3 linked regions of the Drosophila melanogaster genome follow. The protein of the gene in region 3 purifies or fractionates together with the protein of the main gene of each other region. This does not show direct contact. Each region holds a gene or a part of one and is shown on either strand. Other genes may lie near its edges. The genes, in order: cpa, Arpc4 and Arp2.

Region 1 (4,922 bases), on a different chromosome or scaffold from region 3:
GCCTCTACGGTGAGAACGTAGGTGTTTTCGGGCTGCTCCTCTTTGACCTTAGGAGCGTATCCGGCGCAGTTTTTGAAGGCGGGCTTACGATTGTCGCCGGAAAAGTTTTTGTCCGGCGGCGAGTGAAGTGCGAGGGCGGGTGACAGAAGGCTGATGGCCACGATAACGCCCAGGAGGAGTCTCGCGGGGATTAGTCGCCTGCCAAGGTCGCGGCATTTTCGCTTGTGCTGCTGGTGCGTCTGTTGCTGGGCGGGATTTAGGTGGCCGGCCTGCGGGGTCGCCGACATATTGATGCAGTGGTAGCTTCTGGACATTCGCTGGACACTGGTGGACATACTCTCTAGCGGCGATCCGCCATCGCAGACTCTCTTTTTTTCAACCGCAACACTTTTGAGCACTTCTTCGTGAATCACCCAGTATTATTTCACTCACACACCTTTTACTTTTGTTTGTGTTGCCCACTTCTACTTCCACTTCTTTTTTATTCTATTCTATTTGCACTCTTCTTCTTGTTTCGTTTCTCTCAGTGTACCGTTTGTTTGGACTGCATTTTCATGGCAACCGCTCAATAATTATCAATCGAATCGAACTCGTACAGTGCGCGCCCTGATTGTTAACTGACTTATTCCGATTTCGGTGCAGCTGCTCTGGCTGATATTTTCGTTCACTTTTATCTTTCACTCGTCCGCTTGGGCACTCTCTTTCTCCGTTTCTGTTGCCTCCTCTCTTTCGCACCGCAAACAGGTAAGACCAGGTAAAAAAGTGGTTACACGCACACCGCCAAGCGCGCGCATTTGTGTGCGTGTGGTTCGGTTCGCTGCGTTGGTATGTGTGTTACCAACGACTTTTGGTAAAAAGGCACTTTTCGATGGTATTTCGTTGTGAACTTGTACTTTCTGGCGAATTATTTTAAATAAAAAGATCGCAAAACGTATTTTCTTTCACTTCGATCGCTTTTATTGTCGACTTACAACGAAGCTGCGGAGCCACACCGATTTTGAAACTGCGATCGACGCGCGAGACAACCGCTCAATTCAAAAGCAAAAACACAATGCAACAAAAACAACGGGCGGCGTTAGAGATGTGAGACACCGTCGATTCCTCGGTCATCGATAATTAACGGTTAATAATCTCGATGTTTTCGTTTTATCGATACTATATACTGTCTACACTTCTCGATAAATACGTTGATGTGAATCAATTACACTGGATTTAATATAACAAATATTTCTTTAAAAATGGAAGCTGGAAGATAAAAATGGCCCAGCTTGGGCTTTCAAATAGAATTATTAACAACTATTTTTCACAAACAAACAGGTTAATTTTAAACGAGTTGATCAATACTTTAATACTTATATAACTGAAAAATATTTAATAACCAAAACTAGCTACCATGTACAACAATAACATAATTTGCTTTAAAAAAGTTCTGATTGAGTTTGGTTTTGAACAGGCAATGATATTTATTGGTCTCGAGGAACTATTTCTATAATGTATTACATTCTACATCGTTAAAAGTTTTTTTATTGCAATTCAAGTAACGCGCCAAGACTTTTGCCATTCACCCGTCGGATTATGGAGCAGTGTAGACTGCCCGTAAAATACGGTGAATCGCATCCGGTACAGGTACACAAATATTTCCCATCCCTAGCAAAGAGTGGAAAAAAAAGTGAATCGAATCGTCATCGTCTTGGCCCATTAATTGCGGAGAAAAAAGATTGCAGCGCCGAAAAAACGGTCAAGGAAGAGTTCCAGCGACACCGCAACTTCCAACCACTCCACAAGAAGATCCCGTCGAAAGGTAGAACCCTAGGAACCGGAGGGGAAACCAGACCAAACCAAACAACCGCCCAGCCCCGATTTCGTGAATCACCAGTGGAACTATGGAGCAGACACCGATCACCGATGCGGAGAAGGTGCGCATCGTATCGGACTTCATCCTACATGCGCCGCCCGGCGAGTTCAACGAAGTGTTCAACGATGTGCGGGAGCTCCTCAAGAATGACACTCTGCTAAAGGATGGGGCTAGCCACGCCTTCGCCCAATACAACAAGGACCAGCTGACTCCGGTTCGCATCGAGGGCACCGATCATAACGCCATCATATCGGAACACAACGATCTGGGTGAGTTCAGTTCCATCAATGCCCTTAAATGGACAAAGCCTGCCATATGAGTCACCTACACACATTGTTTGGCTTTCGGTCGATATCTTGAGCCCCACACTGATAAGCAATTGCATTCCAGGAAACGGTCGCTTCTACGACCCGCGCACAAAGCAAGCCTTCAAATACGACCACCTCCGAAAAGAGGCTTCCGACTACCAGGACGTAGAGGCAGATGCCACTGCGGAGCCCTGGAGGGCGGCCCTCGACCTGGAGACGCTCGCCTACACTGCCAGTCATTATAGACACGGGGTAAGTTGAATGAAAAACGCTCTATTGCTTACAATAACCCGTAACATTTTCTCTACAGGTCAGCTCTGTTTTTGGAAAGGCGCAGGGCAACCAGATCACCCTGACCATTTGCATCGAAGACCACCAGTTCCAGCCGAAGAACTATTGGAATGGCCGATGGCGCTCCCAGTGGCATGTGACCTTCCAGGCGGGCAGCGGAACCGCCGAACTGAAGGGTGTGCTCAAGGTGCAGGTGCATTACTACGAGGACGGCAACGTCCAGCTGGTGTCCTCAAAGGAGTGCCGCGAAAGCGTGGTGGTCAGCAACGAGCAGCAGGTGGCCAAGGAGGTGATCCGTCTGATCGAGGACGCCGAGAATGAGTACCAGCTGGCCATTTCGGAGAACTATCAGACGATGTCGGACACGACATTCAAGGCAATGCGTCGCCAGTTGCCCATCACCAGGACCAAGATCGACTGGAGCAAAATCGTCTCGTACAGCATTGGCAAGGAACTGAAGACGCAATAAGACCAGGAGGTGCAAGCGGAAGAGGAGCGGACACAGTCGACAAAGCGGCCCAATAGTCTTCCACTTGCCATGGCCAAGCGAGCATAGGAACCGATCACCAGCATTAACACCACAGCATCCGAAACGAAGTAGCAGGAATACGAGAAACGAGGGCGGCCAGGTGCAGGTGCCTGCCGAAAAAGCAAATGTCTGTAATTGGCTATATACATACGAACATATACCTACTTATATATATATATACGGCCTGTATTTATACTGTGTTATACAACGACGAAAGTGCGTAAACATAACTACACATATATCGAGTACGATCGGAGACGATTTGATTGCAAGGATTTGGATGACTTTAGCCTGACGGTGAACGATGCACTGCCGCCTCGTCTACGTCACGATCGCCACCAATTGTCGCCTTTATCGTTTAAGAAGAGCATTAAACGCGGATTTTATCATGTCCTCTGACCTATGTATTATTCTAATTTTAAACGAATCAAGCTCGAGATCTGCGCTCTCGATGAGCCAGTCAATTCTTCGTGTCTTTGAAGACCAACCAGCCGACTCTCGACTATTTTAAGTGGTATCATTAGGAGCACTCATTCAAGTTTTTCGCTTTCCCGATTGTTCACAAACCAACCACCTAGTATGAGCATGAATAATAACTATGCTAAACCACTGATCATTTTTGCCAGCTCTCCATTGACAAACAATAACTAAAGACTTTGATTTTATAAAAACAATAAATTTGTAATTAAAATAACATAACTATAAAACATTTAAGATTGCTTGAATTAGTCAAATTTAAAGAGAATAAACTAATTGAATCGGACATTCGGATTGTCTTCACTTTGAATGTGTTTCTGGTTGTTGATCCGATGCGGATAGAATGACATTGGAATCAACTTGCTGGGCAGTTTGTTTGGTTATACTCTCGGGCAGATCGAAGGTTAGTTCCTCGGATTTTTTAAGCAAAAATCGTTTCTCTGGGTTGAGTTTTGTTTCCAGCTCCAGTCGATCGATCAGCCAGCCTCTATCCGGCTGATTGGACGCCCAAAAGTATAAAGTTCCTGCAAATATAAGGTTGGTAAACGCCAAAGATTTGCTTTCAAAATCGATGGATCTACCTTTATCCTTGCTGCCCCGCACAGCCACCTCACAACGCGCCTCCTCCGCATTGCAATTGTTGTTGGCGTTGGACAGATCGATGCCAGAGTCCTTGATGGGTTCACCCAGGAGACCAACTGCTCCTCGATGGCTCCGCAGTGCCTTCAAGGCCAGTTTGTAGTACTCTGCGGATTTCACCCGATCCTCCATCTTCCATTTCATGTACATCACAGCGGATATGGAGGCCACCGCACCGTAGACACAAATATTGCCCAGTGTTCGGTTCGACGGAAACTTGAGTCCAACCATCTTGCTAACGCTTTTTTATTTACAATCCAGCTGCTGTTACTTGTGTAATATACCGTATAGCCGGCGTCGAATTAGCGATGACAGCTGGTCGATATCGTTATGTGAAAAGGCTTATTAAGACCGAAGTCCACCTCTAAATGCATTTATATGCAAATTATTTGCAGAAAATATAACAACATCATCTATTGTTATGTTGTTTTAGTGACAATTAAGTCATATTATAAAATTGCTCATAAAATTGCTTTTCATTTAAAAATAATTTCGATAGTTATTTGTTTTGAAAAATCAGCTGACTGGTCGTATACTTTATAACCAGGGCTGCAGTGCCACACTTATAGTTAGCAGATTATACAACAAAACGCACAGTTTTGTAAATATCTGTAATTTATCATTTGTTTTTCTATTAAAGTGACGAAAACGGATTAAATAAAGCACATAGCAGACATGACCAGCCTAACCGCAGTTTTCCAGATGGCGAGGCAGCGATTGATAGCCCCAGCGATAGGAAACTGGGCACGTTTTTATGCTGCAAAACCGGCGGCGCCAGGTGAGCCTCCACATCCAGGTTAAATAGTTAACAACTAATAGTAAA
Region 2 (3,506 bases), on a different chromosome or scaffold from region 3:
TTCTTTTAAAAGTTCACGTTGATTTCAGTTGAAAGTTTAAAACACTTTTTACCTTGAGTTCCAAGAATGTTATATTCGTTTTGGATTCATTATTTTCAAAGTCTTAGTCTTGAATGTTCAAGTTTTTTTTTTTTTTTAATTACTGTGGCATCGACTGAGGTATTCTCAAAATAATAAGCACGCTGTATTTGCATCTATGAATGGCTTTCGCGAGTAAAAATTTGAAAATGTTTTTAATTAAGTTAATGTATACTTTAGTGGTAATTTTAATTTACTAACTTGCAACAACATGATACATATACATGCTGAATATAGTTTTACACTAACAAATAATTTGTTCTTATAAGTTTCGCATTTTCTATCTATAAAATAAATGTCTAACAGAAAAAATACATAAGAAATGCTTATACAATTCAATAAAATCAAATACCATGTAAAACACACGAAACGCATTTTTCCTTTATTTACATACAACACAAACACTAAAAACGCTGATATAGACATTAATATAAATGGAAGGAAACTACGTATAAGCATACATTAATGTGTGTAATATTATATGGAAATGCATATTTTGTCTAACGTCGGGTTATTTTTAGAAATGGGTTTAAGAGGAGAGTGAATGTGGGGGTTATAATAAAAAAAAAAAAAAGTATTTAGGGCAAACCAAATGGAATATTTAGGAAAATTTTTTCCAAAAACCTGCGAGTTATTTTTAATTTTGCACCAAAGGGCGCTTTAAAGATTAGCTTAAATTTAAATCTTATATCGTTATATATGTATGTGTACTCGTGTAAACCTATGGCTTCTACAAATGAATATCAATAACATAAATCTCTTAATAAAAATGTGCATTGGCAAAACAATTTAACACGCACAGGACACCAAATTACCCAGACACGAAAACTTTCAAGCATACTCAAGAAAAAACGAACAAAATATAAACGCAAAGCATAAAATGCTTTGATATTTACTCAATTTATGATATATTAATGTCTAATCCAATGCAATAATCAGCCGAAACATTTTTTGAGTATTGAGAGTAGGAAAGGGTTACAATTTTGAACGATTGATTAAAATACTCACTTTCTAGGTTCACGCATAATTTAAGTTCATATAAGCCACAAATAACTGACCATATGCGAGCAAAAATACTTATAACAATTGTATAATAAAAGTGCATTAAACAAATAAATGCAATATTTATAATTGGTGGATGCTGTTTTCTTCTAAATTAACATTTTTCCTCTTTGCTGGTGTGTTGGGTTTTCGGACTTTAATATGGTACACATATATTTGATATTTCCATTTCAAATTTTAACGCTTCTAGCCATATACATTTTTCTTAAATTTTTAAAATTTAGGTATGATTTAAATTGTTTCACTCCTAAAAATTCCACAAAGATAAGATACAAATGGAAATGGAACAGTGGTTGTGGTCTCGGGTAAGTTCTTGATAGTCAAGTTTCTTACCATCTTAACACAGGACATCATAAGAAATGTTTTAAGTGCGATTTGATAAATGTTTAAAAACAACATGTTTAATATTGATTGTATAAACTTTATGCATAGTCTTCCCAAACATATAATAGAAACTGTTTCATAACAAATTCCAAATAGTTGCTATGTTTTTGCGGCCCCACCTCGGCATTGGTATTTTCCTGCCAGCCGCGCATGGTCACATCTTTTCTGGTTGATAAATTCCAGGGCCTGTGAATCATAATAAGTTAAGTAAAAAGTGCAGATACAACAAACCGCAGGCAGCAGACAACAACCCGACACCCAGACACAATGGCAGCCACATTGAAGCCCTACCTGACCGCCGTGCGACACTCGCTGACGGCGGCGATGTGCCTGCAGGACTTCCCCTCGCAGGTGGTGGAGCGGCACAACAAGCCGGAGGTGGAGATCTGTTCCAGCAAGGAGCTGGTGCTCACGCCCGTCGTCGTGTCGCGCAACGAGCGGGAGAAGGTGCTGATCGAGCCGTCCATTAACTCGGTGCGCGTGAGCATCGCCGTGAAGCAGGCCGACGAGATTGAGCGCATACTGTGCCACAAGTTCACCAGGTTCATGATGCGACGCGCCGAGTCGTTCGTCATACTGCGCCGCAAGCCCATCGAGGGCTACGACATAAGCTTCCTCATCACCAACTTCCACACGGAGCAGATGTATAAGCACAAACTGGTGGACTTTGTCATTAGCTTCATGGAGGAGATCGACAAGGAGATCAGCGAAATGAAACTGGCGGTCAATGCCAGGGCACGCACCTGCGCCGAGGAGTTCCTCAAACGGTTCTAGGTAAGTGTTCCACCTAACAGCCATCGCCATTGAGTCGACGCCAACTTACTCTCGCAAATCCTTTGCAGGTGAAGGCAACCAGTATGGACCCGGTCATGATGCTTTAGTATTTCCAAATGGATTCAAGAATAAAGACGGATTTTGTATTATTTACTCGACTACACCAGTTTTATATGCTATCCCGTTTGGCCGCACCACCACATGACCACTGCGTTCTCGTAGAGAACTTCCTTCTGATTTTGATTCACATCGGCCGGCGCCGGCAACTCCGTCGTTTCCGTTCCGTTTAAGGTCACGTTGTCCCCTTGGGCACTTTGGTCTGTAAAGTGGAACTGCCCCGAGCTGGTGGCTAGAATCGGCATAGCCGGATTGAGTGCCACTCCGTTGCAGCAGTCTGAATGCAGGGGCAGTACGGAAGGATCTCCGTATTTTTTGAGATCCCAAACATTGACGAATCCCCGTGTGTCACCGCTAGCCAGCCAATTGCTGTCGGATGCGAGGTCGAATTGAATACGCTGATTGGTGTCCACATGGCGCTGCAACTCCACCAGTGGCTGCTTGTAGTTGCGCATGTCCCACTGCAAGATCTTATCGCACTTGCGAGCTCCACTGAACAGATGCCACTCCCCGTTGCCAAACTCTCCATAGCGCAGTTGTGTGATGCCGCCCTTGTGCCCTCCCAGCGTGAAGAGAGGACCCTGCTTGTGGCTACACCGCAAGTCAAAGTGCTGGATGTAGCCATGCCAGTTGCCGCAGGTTAGAGTGTGCGGGTGCGCAGTGGTCTGTGCAATGCAGGATATGGCAAACTTGACAGGGTAATCGTCGCAAAAACGTCCGGGTCTACGGAGTAGAGTTTGAGTTGCATTAAATGAGCGTACGAAAATAAGCAGCCGACTCACCTGCTGGTGTCGAAGATCTTGATGCAGCGCTTGTATCCCGCATAGATCTGCTCGCCGTCATGGGAGAAGGCCAAGGAAATGGCCGCCATTACTTCGTCTACGGCATCGTACCCACTGTAGCTGCATCGCAGGGAACCGTCGAAGGCATCCCACATGTGTATGGGTTCGTGCTGCCGCGTGGCCAGCCACCTGCGTGAAATGGGAACGGTATAAGATTGGGGAGAGCGTCAGAGAGTTGTCAACTCACAAGCAGGTTTCTGGTTGCAGGCTGTTCATGTGCGGATACCAGACGCAGTCGTAGACGGTTCC
Region 3 (8,149 bases):
CTGATAGTCGGGGAATTCGACTATAGCATGCTCTCTTGTTGTCATTTTTGTTTTGTTTTTAATTTGGCAAAAAAAAAACCATAAAAAAGTCGTATGCGATTTAGTTTTAGACTACAGTATACAGTACACATCATACATAATTACGTTTATTGCATTCACTTACATAATTGGCATTCCACATTCATTTTACATATACGGATATATGTATATGGATCACACATATGTATATGTATATACTATTCATCATATGCCGATAGTTGCGACCCCAACAATCATCAAATTGCAACTAACTAGAAAAGGCAGGTAAGGAAATTAAATCAAATTTAACACTTCGACTGATGGTACTTTCGATTATGGGGCAACGTAAATGCGTAATCTTGTGACTTCGATTATCTGTATCTTTATGGGTAGGTAACTTCATCTTTATCTAGTTGGAGACAATCCAGAAATGCTTACTTTAAGGTCGAGTGTCGGGAGGCGAGACGGGATCGAATCAATCAGTGTATTTAGTTAACGACCGAACTCGCGCTTTCTCCTTCTGTGCTATGCAACTTCCTCGTTATATTTCCTCTGTCTCTGTCTCTGTCTTAACACACACACGATTTTAGTAGCTGCTACTAGCAGACTTGGCCTAGTTAATACTTAATGTGAAATACTCGCTGGAAATGAAACATTTTGCGTTTACAAAAATATCGCCGCACTCGAGGTGCTTTGAATTTATATATGTATATATATATAGTTATATATGCGTATTCATTAAAGAAAAGGGCTTTTGGGTTTGAATTTTAGACGTAATTATAAACAATTAAACACACTAATGCAGGGTTACACAATTTAGGCGACTATCGAATTAAAGTTTTCGCGCTCAAAGAAATATTACATTATATTGTACGGGGATAACGACCAGTGACGACATGTCTGCGATTATAGATAATCTAAGGGCAAGTGGACCAATCCTGCTCAACAGACACGCCCACTCGCACAGGCACACACAAAAAAAAAAACATATATAGACGGATATATCACGTAAATCTGAAAGGTTTAAACCTATAGAAAATAGAGAAAAGAAATCTATCACTTTTTTATCCTATTTCTTGCGGTCCGCACACACACACACACTGATTTCGCATCCATCCGCCTCTAGTGACTGATCTTTTGCAGCTTTTGCAATACTTTGAGACCCTGTTCCTGATACTCCTGCTTGGACATCCAGAAGCCGTCGCGATCCTTTGTCACCTCCGCCAGAACAGCTCCGCCGATAAAGACCATATCCTTGCGTCGCGGTGGATCCTCAATGCGTATTTTGAATTTCTGCAATGTAATCGTTCAATTTGTTAAACACGATGTGCATTGATTAGCTTTACTTGACAACTTACCGCCAGCTTTTCCGTATCGTTCTTGAGTACCCGCTCCAGGTACAGCTGTTTGATCTCACGCTCCAGCCGACTGGGAAGACCCGGATACATGGTGGAGCCGCCGGACAGAACTATGTGCTTGTAGAGTTCGGGCCGTATGTCGATGTCTGCCGCCTGGATGGTGTTGAAGGCCAGTTCCGCAATGCCCGGTCCCTCGACGTTGATCAAATGCGGCTGGAACAGAGCCTCTGGCGCCTCAAATCTCTCGCCACCGACCTTGATAACACGACCGTCGGGTAGCGTGTACGATTCCACCAGCACCGTCGTCTCCAGGGCCAAACGCTGCTCCATCTCGATGTCGTAGCCAATGTAGCAGAGCTTCTCCTTCATTATGCGAACCGTTTCGAAGTCGGCGGAATGATTGAAAGCGTAGCCACGTAGTAACAGTAACTAATGATCATAGATAGATGCGAAAGTATAAGTCACAGTTTGGCTATATGTAATTGTAAGGCAAAGCAACCTTAATCAAATAGCGAGTGATATCCCGACCGGCAATGTCCAATCGTCGCGTCAGATGGGGCAGGGCAAACTCCTCGTAGACGGGACATATATGCGTTACACCATCGCCCGAATCGATCACCACGCCAGAGATCAGACCCTGGGCATATAGCGTCAGCACGGCCTGGATGGCAATGTACGCCGAATCGAAGCCATATTTCTCGAACATCACCTGTGAACACAAACACAACAATGTTAGTTTGAAGTGGGATTTTAAAATATGGTATGACCTCACCTCAATCATCTTCTCGCGATTCTTTGTGGGATTCATGGGCGGCTCGGTTAGCAGGATTTTTGTGTTCGTCGGATCGATGTCCATCTTTTTGGGACCGAACGTGTAGTCCCACACGTGGCACATGTCGTCCCAGTTGCGCACCACACCGTTCTCCATCGGATAGGAGACCTCCAGCAGGGATCGCAGCTGTGAGGCCTCATCGCCGACCATCAGATCCTGTAAATTCGTTCGTCAGAGGACGCAGCGTTAGTGTCCGTGGCTTGGTCAATGGATAGCCATTGGGATTCGGATTGGTTTGGACTGTTTGGTTGGTTGGATGGTTGATTGGTTGGGTATTTGCTTAGAGGCTGGGATGGTTAGTCATTAGTGTGGGAGACATACACAGGTGTTAGGCACAATAACAGCGAGCACACTACAAGAATGCAACTAAACTCGTCTAAACAATCAACGATTAACAAGAGGCAGCAGTGAGTGTGAGTAGTTGCGGAAAAGGACTTGCCTTTCCGGAACACTGGCAAACACAGGGACGTGCAAAACAAACGGGGGATTAAAATAGGGCTAAGCAGACACAGGACATCATGCAGACGAGAACACATAACAATTTCAAATCAGCAAATCACAATTAAAACGAGAAGCAACTGAATTTGGTTGCCTTAAGATATGTACAAAAAAAACCAAAGGGTGTAAGCTAGGAAACAAATGGTATGAAAACATAGGAGTAAAACTTAAATAACAAAAATTATATTTACGTAAATTTGTCGTTAAATTGAACAGATTCGATTGGAATTCGGTTTTAAACACGCCTCAGATTTATCCGATATGAGAATTAATAGATTTGTTTTTTTTTTTAATTTTTTTTTTTCGATTGTGGATTTTGTCGATTTTGTGGATGGAGTACAATTATAGATGATGGCCAAAAGGAAGCAACAAGATAGTTGGACGGGGCCGGAATATAGTTGGGAAAATATTCAAGGCAAACAACTAGTGAAAAATGTGAACAGTTAACAGTTAAGTTAATTAATTAATTAAATCCTAAGTGCGCAGCTTGAACTTCAAAAAAATTTCGCAATATTTTGCCAAGCGTGTGTTATTTTGGTTTTTGGTATTTTCGTATTGTGTCAATCGTATACAAATTTTTATTATTTTATGTTTACTTGGTGATTAGATTTCTGGTAGTGGTAGTTTGGATTTTGGTTTTTTTTTTAACTATACAAACTTGACTTACATCGACATGTAAATCCTGCAAAACATTTGTTTTTAAAAATATATGTGAAAAAAAGAACAGAAAAATGTATAAGAATATTAAAAAAGAACAGAAAGATTACAATTTTAAAAATATTTATTTTCTGTATCGTTTTTTTTTTTATTGCTATTCAAGATGTGTTCTTAATGATTCTTAATTTGATGTTTCTTCTGTCTAAAGTAAAGAACTTCTAAGTAAGATCTATATATCGAAAATCAAGTGATGCACTCAAAAAAAAAAAAAGCTTAATGTCTGCGGGGTTCAGCCTCCATATCCACAGTTTATTAAGCTATGCCTAAACCTTGGTTAAAATCAGATATCCACGGACCAACTTTTAGCATGATATATTTACCATAATATATATTTATATATTTTGTATGCATGTGTATAATAATATGAGGGCCCACACACCGAGACCAATGCAACTCAAGCAAAAATGCAATATTGGGATAAGTGACCCCCAGAAGTGATGAAATCAAGATGGTAAATGAAACGATATGCGAATGGGGTAGATCGAAAACAAATTATATAGAAGTAAGTAGATATGCGACACTAATAGACAGAATAGAAAATAGAGCAATTCCACTCCAAAATCAGATGGGTTAGGGGTGAAAAAATATGGTGGGTAATTTGGTGGATAGTGAACTTCTATGCGCTAAATGTATTTCTTGCCGTTTAACTAGTCATGGAGTAGTTACATCGAAAAAAAAAATGATATAATATATGGATATTCGTGTATTTGATGGCCTGTGCACAATTGAATTTGTGTAGTGTATATGGTTGTACTATCTCATCATATTGTTAATTAATTTTAGATACTTTAATTGGTAAGTACGATGGATCATACCTTGACTTCGATATCGCCGATTTTGTTGACCGCCCGAATCATGGGTCGTCCCACCATCGAGGGAAAAATGTGGGTGGGGAAATTGCTGCCGGCATATCCGCACTTAACGAACTGAAAAATAAATGGAGATGTCATAAATACATATATTTATATTATGGTGTATGTGGAAACACATTAAAATAATATGACAGCCGACATATGTACATATATTATTATTTGAGTTAAGCCCTAACACGTAATATGATAATTTAAAATGCTTTTGTATCAACAGGTACTTAAAAATTGCACATAATAATAATAAATAATTATTTTTAATCATTTTGTTTAAGACCAGCTATATCATTTTTCCCGGTGCAGCATTTCCTTGCGTTTTTACTGCTGTGACTTATCGAATTCGGACCGTTATCACAAAACAAAAATTTTTGAATTAGTTTTGATTATTTGGTTTAGGACCAGCTAAATCATTTTTCTCGGTGCAGCATTTGCTTGCGCTTTTACTGTTGTGGTTTATCGGACGCTTATCGAAATCGGACCGTTATCACAATACAAAAATTCTGGGCCTGCGATAAGAACTGATTGTCGGAAATTTTATGGAAGTGTTGGTGTGTGCCAGTGTCGCTCTTTCGACAAATATGTAGGTGTGGGAGATACTGAGTAACGCTGGAATCGTGAGTAATCCACTGATTAGTCAAGCGGAGAGCAAGAAGAAGAGTGGGGAAGCGGAATATAAAGGAGAGGAAGAGGCAATCGCGTAATTGCAACTGCTGCAACTGCTTGACTAACCGCGACGTCAACGCCCGCTGGCCAGCAAGCAGTGAAATAAGCAGCAGCAGCAGAAGCGCTGCTTAGTCCACAAGAAGAAGAAAACGAAAGAAGCGCAGCCAACAACACTCGAAATGTGTGTCACACACCAGTCGTTGGTGATGGTGTGGGTGTGTGCGCTCTGTTTTCACCGCTTGTGGGTGATGTGGGCGGTGCGGGTGGTGACTTTCCCGTTATCTTACCCCAGTGCCGTTATCACAGACGATAACATTTCGACCCTTGCTGTCCATGCTTGAAGGACTCAAAACCGGATCTCTGGAAAACCACTGCTTCTGCTACTCCCGTTGCTTCTGCCTCTGCTGTGGCAACTGCCTTTCCACTTCCACTGATGACGCGACCAGGTTGCCTTTTTGGGTGTTGGTTGTGATTCGGTTTGAAATCACAGCTCGCAGCGCCTCTGCTCGATAAAACCAAACAAAATATTGCACATCAATCGCCTTTCCTGTTGACTTCCTGGGCCGTTTGTTGAGCACTACTGTTAATTGATTCCTTTTCGGCTTTTTTTGTATTTGGACCGCCGGAGAGCGATTGTACTTAATCATACACTTTCCTCTTCCACTCGCACACTCTCACAACACGCGGGCGGGAACCTTGCTCTCTTCGCCACTCTATCGCTTACGTTTATCGCCGCTTCGTTTGGCGGTTATTGGGAATTGAACTCTTAATTTAGACTCGCAATTAAATTTAGGCCGAAACAGTTTGCCGCTATCGACTATTTATACTTATAATTTAGTTATACTGCTGTACAAAAACTCCCTCGTTACTCCCCAGAGTTGAATAAAAATAGATGCATATTCGATACTATCGGCGTTGGACTGAAGCGTACAAAACACCGAAAATAAATACCAGAACCGTTTAGATACTAGATCCAATTATATTTTTTTATTATTTTACAAATTTGTTAATTAAGTTTACTAGTCTGTGTGCCACTTTTAACAATTTAAAAAAGATTAAAAAATACAAGTTTATTAGTAATATATGTTACTTGCACAGGATTTACACAAAACAATTTCAATTCAATTAAGACTTTATTAATTAAATTATTGGATTAAAGATTTGGCAATTTAACAACTAATCACATCTATTTGAAAAACCAATTCGGCAATTGCTGAAATTTCAAAATACTCACATTGATTTCTGGTATTTTTCGTTTGCGCTCTTGCCTCTCGTTCACTCTCATACTTGGAAAAATATTCTTGAATTAAGACTTAAAACAGGTTCAAAATTTGGCGCCATCATTGAATACATGCATGTATTTAAAGAATTGTAATTTAAGCAATTAAGAAGAAAAATGATAACTTGACAATACTGCTCCCAAGGATAAAAAGTTAAGTGATCGAACGCCATAAAATGGAAAGTTTGTTGCTGATTTATTTTATTCCGTTTATATAGTATGTATATGTATGTATAATTTAATAATATAATAAACGTTACTCATTTGTTATCTTTATAATTGCTTTAAGAGGCGAAATGTCTTATATATGTATGTATATACCATGCAGCCGTCTCGTTCCCGCATTTTTTGATTCTGCTTTTGTCTGGGTATTATGTGTTATATTGAACGTTTTAATGCTTTTTAAATAGTTCCCATAAGTATGTTGGCATGGTCTTGACGTACATATTATCAAAATCTACTCATCTCCTCCTCAGCCGTTCTATTCAATTATTTACTTTTACTATGTGCCAGGAAGTTTTGCCTATGCCTCATGCAATAGTTATGTACTTTCTTTATCGAGGGAACTAAGCAAATGTATTGTTAGTCATACATAGTGTAGAATTATTAATACTTCTTAGCTTTATTATTTACCATGGCTCTTGATACACTCGGAATGCAAATCGCCCTAAGAGAATCCAAAATTTACAATTAATTTATTTCAGAAAATTATCTGAATATTGCCTACGTTTAATGGCTTAAAATGTATAGTTCTTTGATAATTAAACTATATTAAAAAAAAAAAATTAAAACTTAATTGTTGACCTATGCGTATTTTGGTATTAACAATTGAAATAAATATTTGTTGTTTTTCAAAAATTATACCTGAAATGTTGTCCATCAATAGAAACATTTGTTTATAGCCTAACAATATGGAATTTAGTTTTCAATTTCATTATTTTAAATCCGTAAAAACCCATACTTGTTGAAAATATTTGCGGCGATTTTCGAACATAAATGCCGATTGATTTTCTGAGTGTATACAATCATTCTATGGAATTGGTGTTCTTGGCGTTCAATACTCGAGACTATTGCAATTAAATGTGATTTGGGGGAACTCCCATTTCACTCGACTAACTAACTAAGTATGCATTTGCGGTGTAACAACATTAACAATTTTAACCACATATAGAACAGAAACTCTGAAACTTAAACGGCCCAACAGCTTTCATCAACTTTCAATAATTATATAGTTGTGGTGGAGGATTAACAAAAAAAAAAAACGCTATATATATATCTATATAAATATGGTGTATCTCTCAATTAGTTGAGTAAGTTGTTTCCATTTCTCCATCTTTTTTTTTTTTATAAAAGCTAAGAGGGAAACTCTGCGACTGCCGCCTCATCCTTGATTTGTTTCTTTTAGCTACGATTTAATTAATCTTGGTATTGTTACGATACGTGCATAGATCACTAAAACTAACTGTTTTCCAATGCCAACTCGGTATATAATATATATATATATCTGTATAAATATTTAGATTAGAGTTCAATGCAATTATTGGTGGTTGAAGAGTCGAAGCAAAAGTACAGCGTTAATATTCTTGGTTCGTGGATAATATGATCTCGATGAAGGCATTTCTTGCGTGAGTATGTATGTGGTATATCTTATAGCTTTTGATTTCGCATTGATAGTGGTTGTGATTAGTGATAAAGGAGAAGCTGATATCATCGGTTTTTGGGAAGAGGTGTAGGCGCAAATTGAGAACTTGATTGCCATCATTATCATTGAATTGATCTGAAACGCCGAAACTCATCCGTTTCTCATGTGTGTGCCATGCCTTATACTTACTTAAATACATCTCATTCGCTTAATCTCATTGCAATTAGCTCATACTAAGTCAAGGAAAATAAGTTTTGTGTTTGTGTGTGTGTG

What was found.
Region 1: the proteins of Arp2 (region 3) and cpa purify together in Drosophila melanogaster (affinity purification with mass spectrometry, with the first as the bait; one large-scale study listed by BioGRID). This does not show direct contact.
Region 2: the proteins of Arp2 (region 3) and Arpc4 purify together in Drosophila melanogaster (affinity purification with mass spectrometry, with the first as the bait; one large-scale study listed by BioGRID). This does not show direct contact.

The regions. Positions count from the first base shown.
Region 1 is NT_033778.4:21,056,139-21,061,060, forward strand, and holds cpa (capping protein alpha), read left to right. Parts: upstream 1-1,648; 5' UTR 1,649-1,883; coding exon 1,884-2,124; intron 2,125-2,245; coding exon 2,246-2,415; intron 2,416-2,473; coding exon 2,474-2,923; 3' UTR 2,924-3,745; downstream 3,746-4,922. Other genes in the region: shg (shotgun), read right to left, coding at 1-335; CG15653 (uncharacterized protein), read right to left, coding at 3,761-3,984, 4,042-4,330; mRpL54 (mitochondrial ribosomal protein L54), read left to right, coding at 4,775-4,877. UniProt on the Drosophila melanogaster protein: F-actin-capping proteins bind in a Ca(2+)-independent manner to the fast growing ends of actin filaments (barbed end) thereby blocking the exchange of subunits at these ends.
Region 2 is NT_033779.5:6,123,458-6,126,963, forward strand, and holds Arpc4 (Actin-related protein 2/3 complex, subunit 4), read left to right. Parts: upstream 1-1,674; 5' UTR 1,675-1,791; coding exon 1,792-2,298; intron 2,299-2,366; 3' UTR 2,367-2,454; downstream 2,455-3,506. Other genes in the region: WDR79 (WD repeat domain 79), read right to left, coding at 2,475-3,138, 3,198-3,386, 3,445-3,506.
Region 3 is NC_004354.4:16,548,102-16,556,250, forward strand, and holds Arp2 (Actin-related protein 2), read right to left. Parts: upstream 5,851-8,149; 5' UTR 5,291-5,850; coding exon 5,243-5,290; intron 4,350-5,242; coding exon 4,239-4,349; intron 3,389-4,238; coding exon 3,374-3,388; intron 2,365-3,373; coding exon 2,149-2,364; intron 2,086-2,148; coding exon 1,876-2,085; intron 1,806-1,875; coding exon 1,377-1,805; intron 1,312-1,376; coding exon 1,141-1,311; 3' UTR 684-1,140; downstream 1-683. UniProt on the Drosophila melanogaster protein: Functions as ATP-binding component of the Arp2/3 complex which is involved in regulation of actin polymerization and together with an activating nucleation-promoting factor (NPF) mediates the formation of branched actin networks.